Oryzias latipes: one gene and its partners. The protein of the gene in region 2 purifies or fractionates together with the protein of the main gene of each other region. This does not show direct contact. Links are inferred from orthologs where the notes say so. Each region holds a gene or a part of one and is shown on either strand. Other genes may lie near its edges.

Region 1 (4,295 bases), on a different chromosome or scaffold from region 2:
TAAATTGACATAAAAAAATGGGTTAAACATAGCTATGTTGTGGCTAAGCTGTTTTATTTGTTTTCTACTATTAAGAGCGATTCTCTTTTATATTTCAATAGATGACAGTGAATGTTCAAAACATACAACATAACTATACAGTTATGCTAGAATTAAGCTAAAAGGCTAGTTTTCATTTAGACTTCTTGGTCAGTCAAAAAGCCATGAAGAAAATCCACAAACCATATTAAAAAAGAACAATTAGAAGAAAGACACACAGAGTGTAAACTGTGTTACAGTAGATTTTACAAAAGGTCATAGTTAAAAATGAGCATTCTATACCAAGGGAAACAAAGAGTCTATCAAATTAATATAATATTAAGTAAATTAAATTATTATTACAATTTTTTTGTGGTTCCCTCATCATTGTGTTGTCAACAGGGTGACCTGGGCTGGATGACTCGAGGATCAATGGTCGGACCTTTCCAGGAGGCGGCGTTTGCGTTACCCATCAGTTCAATGGACAAACCGGTTTATACAGACCCTCCTGTCAAGACAAAGTTTGGGTATCACATCATTATGGTTGAGGGGAAAAAGTAAAATTAGCCTCTCTCTCTATGAGATTGGACAAAACAGTGATATGTGCAAAAGCCAAAAGGACCAGACAAACATATGATTGAAACTTGCGCAGCAATTTTGTGAACTACTTCAACAAGATTGGCTTTTGGAATTTTCTGGATTTTTCTTTGCAGTTTAAGGTGTTTCGTTGAATTCCAATAATAAAATAAAGACGTTCCAAATAAATGCCTTTTTTAATCATTTGGTGTCAATTGTGTGATACTTTCAGAAAAAAACAAAGATAAAATCATGTTCTGGTATTCTGAAAAGTAAGATTCACTTTTATAAATGTGAACATGACTATATTACATATAAAATGTGCTTTATGGACATTTGTTTTACATTTTAAATACTTTTACTGTATACTTTTACTTTTAACTTACCCCAATCATATTTAATAAAAAAATGATAGGTAAATCTAAGCAATTTTAGAAAGATACTAAATAATTACAATAATTATACTGTAATGACAAAATTAATAATATCTATCTATGTATATCTATCTATCTATCTATCTCTCTCTATATATATGTGTGTGTGTGTGTGTGTGTGTGTATGTATATATATATATATATATATATATATATATATATATATATATATACACACACACACACACATATATATATAGAGAGAGATAGATAGATAGATATATGTGTGTGTGTGTATATATTGATATACAGTATATATTTATATATATAGATATATCTATTTACATAAAGACAAATTAATTTAAATAACGAAGACTGGTGTTATTTTTAGCTTTTAATTAAACACTATATTGTTAGTTTCTTTTTTTCTTTCTTTATATTTTTGTATTTTTATTTGTTGGTCTTCTGGGTGACAGCCAGAACAGTAGGGGGCAGCACGCTGCACACCGCGTGACGGAACCGCACCAGGAAAAGACGGTTGACGTTGTTAAGCCTTGCTAGATGATTGGCGAGGTAAGATGGCGGCGCCAGAGGAGCCAGAATTATCCCAGGCGCAGACCGAAAAACTCCTTCAATTTCAGGTAGACAGACTAAGTTTTTTTCATTTCCACACACATGTGTGATAGCTTGTGTGTCGGTATGTTTTTGCCGATAGTGAGTCACCGTTAACTTGTTAAGATTTGTATGTGGGAACCCTTTTTGCACGGTCAACTTCGATAATTCCCCCCAACGTCAACTTGAGTCAGAGCTGGCGTTAGCGAGGCTAGCTAAAATAGCTAAGCTAGTTAACTAGTTAGCCGACTTTCAGGGACACAGAGTGGCTTTAAAAACGCTACTTTTATTTTGTGTTGTAAAAAAAAACACAACCAGTCCTTATCTTAAATATTCTACCTACCTTCGTACTATTTTCTTTTTTTTTTAATTTAAATACCATTTTAGGTTTTCACTGACGTTCCCTATGAGCATTAGCACATCTGTCATTCTAACCTGATTCTTTCTGGAGTTTTAGGGAGAAAAGAAAAACCGTTCCAGTTGTGTCAATAGATCTTACGTTGCAACACAGAGACTTGTCTGCTCGTGTTTGTCGTTATACCCGAGATCAGAATTCTTCAGACTGTAGGAGGATCGCCTCTCAGTCACATTTAACGTAATTGTTTGTGGATTCATTTTTTTCGCGTAATCTTTCAAATCCCAAGTTTCTGTTACAAACGAGCAGGCCAGAGCTTACATTTGAAAACAAAAGTCAATTTACTGCCACATAAAGGCTACATTAGTGAGATCATTAGTCTGTCAGCTACATCATCATGCTGTTTCTATTTTTTTTTTCAGCCATTTCAGAGCCCTAAATATTTATAAAATCATTGTTTGTTTGTTTTTCCTCATAAAAATCTGTTACTCTTAAGTTCTTCGAGGCTGCCAACCTGTGGTGAACTAATGATCTAATACTGTGAGAGGAATGTTGATAGATCTATTTGTGTCTGTTTAAAAGCTTTTTTATTTTTTTTTATTTTTTTAACATTAAATTTGAGGCTTAAGGAGGGGGACCTTGGCAAAAAAAATCTGACTAGTTTTACATTCTTTCCGCTGTCATCATCAGCTTGACTTTCACTTCACGTTTAACAGGATTTAACAGGTTTGGAATCAATGGACCAATGTCGCCGAACATTAGAGCAACATAATTGGAACATAGAGGTATGTTTTCTTTTTTCTCCAAATATATGCTCACATTGTGGACCCTATGAGGGTCTCTTTGAAAAATCAGTGAACAGTTTTTAATGTCGAATCAGCAGTTATTGATTAACTGCTACTGTGAATAGGAGACATTGGAGAAGCAATTGTTTTGACTTTTAACCACTGAAAGAAACTGTATCATTACAATTAAATTACATTAAAACAAAAATAATGATTCAAACGGGTATTTTAATTTGTCATTGGATTTTCATTTTGCTTGCTTGAATGTACAAACTGAAAATTCTCTGATCACTGTCCAAACAATTGGAGCTTCAGCTATTGTAAAGTGTGACTGTCTAGAAATGCTGTGTTTGGTTTTCAGGCTGCAGTGCAAGACAGACTCAATGAGCAGGAAGGAGTTCCTAGTGTGTTCAATCCTCCTCCATCCAGACCGCTTCAGGTTAACACAGCAGACCATAGAGTTTATAGTTACATCGTTTCACGGCCTCAACCCCGGGTATGTCTTTATTCGTATTATCTCAACCCCAGATAAGATTAGTAGAAAAAAATTGTTTATTCTAGCTTGATATGTATGGTCTTTGAAACTATGGCACTGTTGTTTTTCTAGAAGTCGTCTCTGTTTTTCTTTTGATTTGTCATTGTGTGTTGCTGTTCAGTTTTTATTTATTTATTATTAATTGCTATTAAATGCTATTTTGCAGGGATTACTAGGATGGAGTTACTACTTGATAATGCTCCCCTTCAGATTTACATATTACACACTCCTGGACATATTCAGGTAATTGAATCACATCTGCTTAAGGTACTTTTGCTCATTTATGCATTAAAGCAATAGAGTTTCACATGTGTCCTCCCCTTTATTTTCAAGGTTTGCCCTACGGTTCATTAGGCCAGATCCTCGCGGTCGCGTGACAGACCCTGTTGGAGATGTGGTGTCTTTTATTCAAAGTTTTGAAGAGAAGTATGGCCGGTCACATCCTGTGTTTTACCAGGGGACCTACAGCCAGGTGAAAAGATAGTTGGAGAGAATAGAAACACATTTAACAGAAGCGGATAGATGGAATGGCATAGAAACTGAGCACGTTTGTGTTGTCTGTTTGTGTTTGCTTTGCAGGCACTGAATGATGCCAAACGGGAACTCCGCTACCTGTTAGTGTATCTTCATGGAGACGACCATCAAGACACAGACGAGTTTTGCCGGTATAGTAATCATCTTTGTGTTGTGGCCATCTGGACTCCTGAATATGTAGCACTCATTCAAAGACTGTTGATATATTAGCCCAATAGAGCTGTTACGAGTATCTGAATACTCGAATATTTACAATCTGTTCCCGAAAATGCAACTACAATGTGATGTCAGAGATTTCCGAATTATGATCTTCCAAATACCAAAAATCTAATTATGTTGTCTGAAGTGTATTTTTACTATGAAATGTAGTGAAAATACACTTCAGACCATGTAATTACTGCTCAAAGATGCTATTAAATTACAAATTTTCAGTTTATATACTAAACAAACTGAATGTGCAACTGTTAGGGAAGTAAATGAAATTTCAGAGTAAAGTGTCGGTGAAG
Region 2 (4,370 bases):
CTCCAGTTACTCCTGTGCCCTGGTCAGACGTGGATGTGGATCTGGGTTTTGCCCTCTTCTTCTTCTTTCTTCTCTGCTTCTTTTTGCTGGTGACGATTGTCCGCTGCGCTCAGCTGGTACTGGACCCTTACGGCGAAGTTTCTCCTTCAACATTCCTAGAAGAGGAAACTGAGGAATCATGACATGGATCCCCTGTGTATGACGGATGATCAGAAAATAAAATTGGAAACGCAAATTCTTTGGACAATTTCTACATTTTTGAATTTTGGTGGAATAGTTGTTGATCACTATCATGCAAGTATATGCGGTGGGGTTTCACGTGTGCTTAAGTGATGTGGTTTTACATTTTCTTAGGATTGTTTATGTTATAAAGTTAATCAATATTGACCTATGGGTTTCTCTTCCTTTGACCTAAAAGCTAGCTGGATAGGCTTCAGCAATCCCTATGACCCACAACACATTTATGCTACATTTTCTTGTTCTTGCTTTTTTTTTTTTACTTAATTCTAAGTCTTTTTTCCCTCTGCTGTCAGTTGCTATGGTGACAAACAAATTTCCCACGTGTGGGATCAATAAAGTATCTCTGATTCTGAAATAGCAGGTAATAGACGGATAGATGGATTTGTGAAAAATTATTTTAACAAAACAATTTTTTCTACAAATAAAGTGTTTTTATATCTATGTATGTATAGATAAATTTGCATAAATACTGGCTGATACAAACATTATTATTATTATTCATCAAGATCTGTATTTAACATTTTGATAGCCCTGAGTAAAAGCAACTGAACTTTTATTTCAGATGCTTTGTATTGTTTTTTTCCTTTTGTTCCAAGAATTTAGCACAAAAGTGACATTTTTTTGGGAAATTTTAAATAAATAATTTATTTCATTGCCAAAGTTGGTGAGTGTGACCTTCACCAACTAGGGGCTTTGGTACCTGTACAGAAATACATTTGAAATAGCACAAAACAACGTTCAATATTTATCATTGTCTGGTTAAAAAAAAAGTTGCTTTTGTTAACAGAAATAATTTAGGATAAATAAATGACTGCAATGTTTTTAAGCACTTTAACCAATACTAACTTTCTGATGCTCCTTAAGTTGAGAGTCCTTAAACGTCTACGGACATTTTTTAAGCAACGTAGAAATTACACCATGGAATTATTTTTAATACATCAAAACACTACTTGTTTAAATTAAGTAGATTAATCTGATAATGTTGTTTGTTCACAATAAAGTCTTTAAAAATGATGGTTAATGAGAGATTTAAAATTTACCAAACAAAATTAATCGAGTGTTCGCTTGTTTTGACCATTTTGAGCGAGGAGAACCAGGGCAATTGCGAATTGACGTTGATTTTTCCTTCCTATCTAACATTTGCTTAAAATCTTTACAGACCCCTGCAAATTTCTGAATATAAAAATATAATAACAAGAATCATATTTTTTGGTAGAACTTTTTGGACGCTGTTAAACGAATGAGTCGGATGTTTTGCTTCTACTTCACTAAGCCCACCTAACACCGCCCAGTCGGGATACCCTGGGAGCCACGTCAAGCGCTCCCTATTGTAGCTAGCTCGTAGCTTTAACGTAAGCTAGTTTTAAAGCATCGTCCCATAGAATGGAAAACGTTGAAGGGTATGTACTTTTTCCAGATGTTTTTTTTTTAATATAAAATACATAAGCCGCATCCTTAAGAACACCCCCCAGACGAAATAAATATGCACGTTCTACAGCCACCTACTTATGCACTCTTGGGTGTTTACGTTCATATGAAGCGTTTATGCTAAGCTAACCAGCTAGCATGCATCCAGTATCGAGCTCCAGCAGCATCTTGTCTCCACCATGCTGCTCTTTTAGCACCGTTTACTGAATCTGTGGAGATTTTAATTTGCAGCCCTTTCTTAAAAGAAAACTTGCTCTGTTTCTCCTTTTTCTGATTTTAAGTTATACTGTTTGTGCTAAAAAGGTAAAGCTAAACAAAAGAATTCATCCTAATTTGTAGACATTATTTTTCTGTAATGCTTTTAATATTTATTTAATGTGACGTAGTTGGTCCAAATTATTTAGTTCCACGATTTTCTTTCAAATTATTGACTAAGATCATTTGAGACCTTACTATCAGCTATTGATGGAAAGCCTGTTGTGTTTGTTGATGTGTTATCCCCAATATTTTGTTTTCTTTCCCTGCTTTACAGACTGTTTTTTTTAAATAAATCTCACAGTCTTTGTTTTTAATTGCTCTTTTATTGATTTAGTCACAGCATCTCTTTTGGTCTCCACATTTGTCATAGTAATTAATCATTTTAATATTTTAAAGCATTTCCAATTAATCTTCGCACAGTTTTTTGTATAGATCAAGAAAGTTTTATTTGATCATGGACACATTTTAGTTTTCATTTAAATGTTTTATTTTTAAATCTTTTTTTAATTATTCAACTTCTTTCTTACCGACTGTTCTTCTTCAGAATGGAGGTGGATGGCTGGGACTCCAGTCTGGAGGAAGAGTTTGGCATATCCCTGGATGAGCTGAAGAAATGGATTGATGAAGCTGTGGAAAAGAGCGACATTGTCCAGAAGAAGAAAGCTCAGCTGACGGAGCTTAAGGAATGGGTGGAGCAGAAAGAGGAAGAGGAGGCAAAGACGGAGATGCTGCTTACTGATGCCAACCAGTAAGAATGTGCTTCTGCCTTTGATTTATTTGTTGTGTCACCGTGTCTAGATGGTTGACGCCATGCTCCTCATTTCATTGCAGGTCTGTAATAGAGTGTGAGAAGCTGGTGAAGGAAGCTTGTAAGAAGAATGGTCTTGTTTATCGTGAGAGCGGCTCCGAGGATGAGGGAGGCGGAGGAGGTTCCCTGCCCTCTGAAGTTATAGAGATAGACGACGATGATGACGACGACGTTATTGCTGTTGGTTGTTGTAAGTTATATTAATTTGTCATGGAGAAAGTATGACTATACATTGATAAAAGATGTTTCCTCATTATTATCTTTTCCTGTTTTTAATTTACTCAATCAGTGGTTCCCCCAAACAAGACATTAACCCCCTCTAAAGACCCTGCGGTAAGAGATCAATTAAATGTTCGCAATAAACAAGTTGTTCTATCTTTAAATAAACATTTTTTATTTTATGTATGGAATGTTTCACAGAAGAAGGAAAAGTAATATGTATCTTTATTTTGACCAGATTTTGAAAAGATTTTATGCAGTTTAGGATAAAAAACATTAAGAAGACATTGGAAACGCTGAATGTTCTGCCTTTTCTTTGCCCTATCCATATGAAGTGAAGCAATAAAAAAACACAGTTACTTGATTTTTTGTTGTTAAAACAGTTAAAGGAAGCCTCTGCAGTTCTGCAGAAAACCTCCCACCAAGTTCAGAAGTTGGTCCAAATAGTCGCCAAGTCTCCAGCATCTGCTGCGTTGCTTCGATCTCCAACACAGCTCTCTGCTCCTTCAGGTGAGCAAATACTGATGCTCCTGCATCACAATTCTTCTTGATATCTTCCTCGACTTGCTCTCATTTGTGGCTCTTCTTCCTGCAGGTATTCAAAGCTCGGCACCAGCAGTGTTTGTGTCTCAGGCCCCATCCCAAGGAATGACTCAGCCGAGCCCAAACATAAAAGAAGATGAGCTCAAAATTGGGATGAACATTCTGGGAAAGAAACGCACGAAGACCTGGCACAGAGGCACTCTTGTTGCCATCAACCCTATTGGTGTGTTCTTTTCTCCAAGTTTCTTTAAATTAGTGCGTAAACACTTGTTGGGTTTTCCGGTATTTTTTACCTTTTTTAATTATTTCTTTTGTCTCTGGTGCTTCTGTCTAAAATCAGGAGGTGGGGTTTACAAATACAAAGTAAAGTTTGATAAAGGCAAGAGTCTGCTGTCGGGAAACCATGTGGCTTTCGACTACAACCCCACTCTGGAGAGTCTGTTTGTTGGGGCTCGAGTAGTTGCCAAGTACAAAGATGGCAACCTGGTGTGGCTGTATGCAGGAATCGTAGCAGAAATGCCCAACAACAAGAACCGCATGAGGTGGGTGCTCCCAAATCTAAAGAGGCCCTGTGCTGGTCATTATTTAAACAATTGCTGTCCCTGTATGTTTTGCAGGTTCTTGATCTTCTTCGATGATGGCTATGCTTCCTATGTGATACTTCCTGAACTTTACCCTGTTTGCAGACCTTGTAAGGGACTCTTTCCCAGATTTTAGTGATTTAAATGCACATTTTTTAATGAAGTTTTTAACAAAGAAGATCTTTCTTGTTTTTTGTTTACAGTAAAACACACTTGGGAGGACATAGAAGATGCTTCTTGTCGAGACTTTATCGAGGAGTATATCTCTGCCTATCCCAGCAGGCCGATGGTGC
Region 3 (3,482 bases), on a different chromosome or scaffold from region 2:
TCCAGGTTTCTGCTGATGCCCACAGTAGACACTCCTCCATACGTCAGCTTTGAGTCGTAGAGGAGAGAGGTGGATTATGATACTGCCCCAGCAGTGAGCAGGTTCCAACCATGGGGGACACCAGGAGTCCAAGTGGATGAAAGTCCTGACTGTTGTCCAAAACACGTATTTTTGCTGTTTGTTGCTTTGACACAGTCAGGACAATTTGGACCAACATCGATGATGGTGCTGCGAAAAATGAAAGTTTAGGGAAGAACTATAAGGACTGATATAGAGATGGAGATCTCCACAAGCCTTTTGATCGCCTCTACATGTCGTTGGTGTTCCTGCCAAGCCTTCTAGAACTACAAGAGACAAAATCACCCTTTGTCCAAGCCCCTACCAGCTAAGTTGATGACAAAAAAACAGATTCCAACTGATTCCAGTCCATATTTTGGAACATTCACATCAGTAACCCAGAAGAAGAAGCAAAAAATGATGGAAAGAAGGAACTCAAGGCTATGACAAAGGCCTGCCAGGATTATCACCAGCCAAGGAATGAAAGGATGACGATGTACAAGAAGGACAAGTTGACTTGTATTTCATATAATGGGGGCTGAGACTTTTTGTACTGGTTGAGTCGAGCACTCTTTTGTGAAATCCACCATATATACTGGAAAAAACTGCAACAGAACGTGGACCTTACGCAGCCATCCTATCCTGATACTGGGTGCCATATTTGCATATATATGAACTGTTCATGGACTCAGACAGCGGACGTTTGGAGCATGTGGCGGCTACAAGGAGAGCAGATGGATGCCCCAAAGGGGGGGAAGCAAATGCCCTATACAAAAATCTGGGAGAGGGCCCACTTGTCTGTGCTGCACCACCCATCCTGCATGTGCCACAGACTGGCGAGGAGTGGAGATGGACGCTGGGCTGTGAGAGACATGCCCTGTCCAACACTAACAGGAACATGGGTGGGGTTGACCCATCTGATCAGCTCAAACGGTATTACTCCGCCCACAGAAACCGGGCTCACTGATTCAGTACTGCCCTGCTGCACTTGTTGGAAAGGGGAACAACAAACATGTATACCTCGCACCTTGAGACGAGCAGAGCCAAGCTAATGCAGCTTGTGACACACAGACGTGATGGTGGAGATGGTTTAGTGTGAACAAGACAGGTTTTCCCCAGAGCAGGAGGCCGCATCCACATTCCCGTGCCCATCGACACAGATTCTGATAATGTCTAAAACACAGGGAGGCTGAAAAGCAAATGCAGCCTTCAGGTGATCAAGATCAGGAAAGACGCAGCTTTTGAAGTAAAGTGACTCTGTTTGTGAAGCTGGACAGGAAACTGCTTTGTGGATCTGCTCAAATCTCCTATTTATATATAAATAGGGGGGAAAAGCTTGGCTGCATTTTTAAACGTTAAACGTTGGGTCAAAAATTGAACATGATTGAGATGCGGTCATGTGAATTCGGCTGAAGTGATTTGAGTCTTGGTCTGAGACACTGGCTGAGACACTGGCTGCCTTTTCATTTAAAAAGTTGCATAGCTGCTAAAAGCCAAAAGGTTTGTTAAGTTTAGGTCCAGTGTAGCAAAAAGGGAAAGCTAGGTGAGGTTGTACTGAAAAAAAAATGCTACCAACCAGGGCAAGGTGAACTGTTTTATGGTGAAAATATAAAGATCAACTCAGACAAAAACGGCCAATCGTACCCTGGACTCCTAAGGGTTAAGTCTCACTTGTACGTCCAAAATCCTACAGATTGGTCGGGATGATAAAACATTTGTTTTATGAACCCTCAAAGTAAACCCCCCCCGTGGGTCGAGGTCCTGAGTCTTGTGACGTTCTACAATATGAAGCCTGAGCGTTTCTGCAGGCAGAGCAGTGTAGTTAAAACTGCACCTCTTCTTCCAACAGCGTGCTCCGTCGGCAGACAGTAGAGCCGCAGCCTGAGGTACCCAGAGAGGGAATGGCACCCTCTCTCGGTAAGACCCCTGCACTGTCTGTCAAGGTGGAAATGGAAGAAGAGGACATGGGGTACGAGCAAGAGACAGATGTCTCACACCAGATTGCCATGGCGACAAAGCTGGCAGAGTTCAGTGAAGGAAGATGCAGAGCTGAAGTTAAACTCCGCCCGATTTCTTCCCATTTGGAGAGCGTGTTGTACAACAACTGCAAGCGAAGCTCAGGAACCCCCAGGCCTGACCGTTACGCATCTTACCTTTTCCGCTACTTGGTCCCTTATGACACCTACTGTGACTGGGTGGCAAAGGTCAATTACGTTGGATTAATGGGAAAGGAGGCACTGCCCACAAACTTGAGGAGAGCAATGAGGATGTACATTGACCGTCGGTTTCCTTTACTGTCAACTGAGAGGTGGAGAGAGATTCGTGACGTAATCAATGAGATACTCAGAGTCAAGAGAAGACCGGAGTTTTTTCGAGAATATGACGGAAGGACTACAATGTTAATTTGAGGCTGTCACACAATCATAAGCATTCTGGGACAATTGTCATGAAGCACAATAATCAAACGGTATTTAATCTTTTGTCTTTCATGCAAACACGTAGAAGGACATTAAGACCTGGTGACTTGACACTCCAAACCGCTTAACCCCTTAACATCATACCATAAACTTGGGCAACCATTTTGTAAATTGAACCTTCATGCAAGCTGTTTTACTGTGTTGAATGGAATAAAACGAGGTGTCCACGCCCTCTTCTGTTCAATTGTTGTGCTGTCATGGACGCAAAGGGCTTCCTATGTCTTCAAGTCTAAGCATGAGCAATCTTTCTGAACAGGCCGGTCCGTGCTACCGTCGAAGTAAAGCAGACTCCAACCGTTCCTTCGTCTAGCTCTGCTGGTGAGTAGCAGCATTTTTTTTCCAAAGTGGAATTCTGTGTCCGTCTGTACGAGAACAACGGAGACGGTTGATAGATTTTGGGGCTTCAGTCTTGGCAGCAGAATGTGTTTTTCATTTAAACAAGTTCTGGACATCACTGCCATGTTTCTAAACCAATTTGATTTACAGTCACAGGTTGATGATTTGAATACATTTAGGATTTGGTGTGAATGGACTAAATATTGATTCATGTTTAAAAATTGTTTGGGTATTAAAAAATGGATTTAAGCCACCCAAATCAGGAGCAGCTTGCAGAAAATCTGTAATTTTGTCTTAACAAATACAAAAATCAATCCACTTCATGACTCTGACAGTCTAGATCCTTATTTATTCATGTTACCTAGTCCTAAACCATCTTGTTGTGGGTTTAGGTTGTATCTGCCTTTCAGAAAATACTAAAAATATTCACGTTTACTGCTCCATGGAGCGTCCTCCTCCTAACTGACCTGAACTCTTTCTGCTTGTTCCCAGTTGTTTCGGTCCAAGCACCTTTACCTGCCTCTGTTGCAGCCTCGACCACCTCCGGCACCTCCACTGCCATGGTTCCACAGGGCTCCATCCTGCAGCTCATAACCTCCAGCGCCAACAACG

Evidence for each region.
Region 1: the proteins of setdb1 (region 2) and faf2 purify together in Homo sapiens (affinity purification with mass spectrometry; 3 studies listed by BioGRID and IntAct, counting the BioPlex papers as one, with this or other methods). This does not show direct contact. The link is inferred for Oryzias latipes from reciprocal best matches to the Homo sapiens genes SETDB1 and FAF2.
Region 3: the proteins of setdb1 (region 2) and atf7ip purify together in Homo sapiens (affinity purification with mass spectrometry; 6 studies listed by BioGRID and IntAct, counting the BioPlex papers as one, with this or other methods). This does not show direct contact. The link is inferred for Oryzias latipes from reciprocal best matches to the Homo sapiens genes SETDB1 and ATF7IP.

The regions. Positions count from the first base shown.
Region 1 is NC_019868.2:20,367,362-20,371,656, reverse strand, and holds the start of faf2 (FAS-associated factor 2), read left to right. Parts: upstream 1-1,483; 5' UTR 1,484-1,546; coding exon 1,547-1,609; intron 1,610-2,651; coding exon 2,652-2,720; intron 2,721-3,081; coding exon 3,082-3,216; intron 3,217-3,421; coding exon 3,422-3,498; intron 3,499-3,588; coding exon 3,589-3,727; intron 3,728-3,834; coding exon 3,835-3,920; intron 3,921-4,295. Other genes in the region: pin4 (peptidyl-prolyl cis-trans isomerase NIMA-interacting 4), read left to right, coding at 421-579. UniProt on the Homo sapiens protein: Plays an important role in endoplasmic reticulum-associated degradation (ERAD) that mediates ubiquitin-dependent degradation of misfolded endoplasmic reticulum proteins.
Region 2 is NC_019874.2:19,105,070-19,109,439, forward strand, and holds the start of setdb1 (histone-lysine N-methyltransferase SETDB1), read left to right. Parts: upstream 1-1,530; 5' UTR 1,531-1,623; coding exon 1,624-1,640; intron 1,641-2,470; coding exon 2,471-2,674; intron 2,675-2,757; coding exon 2,758-2,924; intron 2,925-3,023; coding exon 3,024-3,067; intron 3,068-3,336; coding exon 3,337-3,463; intron 3,464-3,548; coding exon 3,549-3,719; intron 3,720-3,836; coding exon 3,837-4,038; intron 4,039-4,113; coding exon 4,114-4,187; intron 4,188-4,280; coding exon 4,281-4,370. UniProt on the Homo sapiens protein: Histone methyltransferase that specifically trimethylates 'Lys-9' of histone H3. H3 'Lys-9' trimethylation represents a specific tag for epigenetic transcriptional repression by recruiting HP1 (CBX1, CBX3 and/or CBX5) proteins to methylated histones.
Region 3 is NC_019859.2:10,792,911-10,796,392, forward strand, and holds part of atf7ip (activating transcription factor 7-interacting protein 1), read left to right. Parts: intron 1-2,790; coding exon 2,791-2,852; intron 2,853-3,362; coding exon 3,363-3,482. UniProt on the Homo sapiens protein: Recruiter that couples transcriptional factors to general transcription apparatus and thereby modulates transcription regulation and chromatin formation. Can both act as an activator or a repressor depending on the context.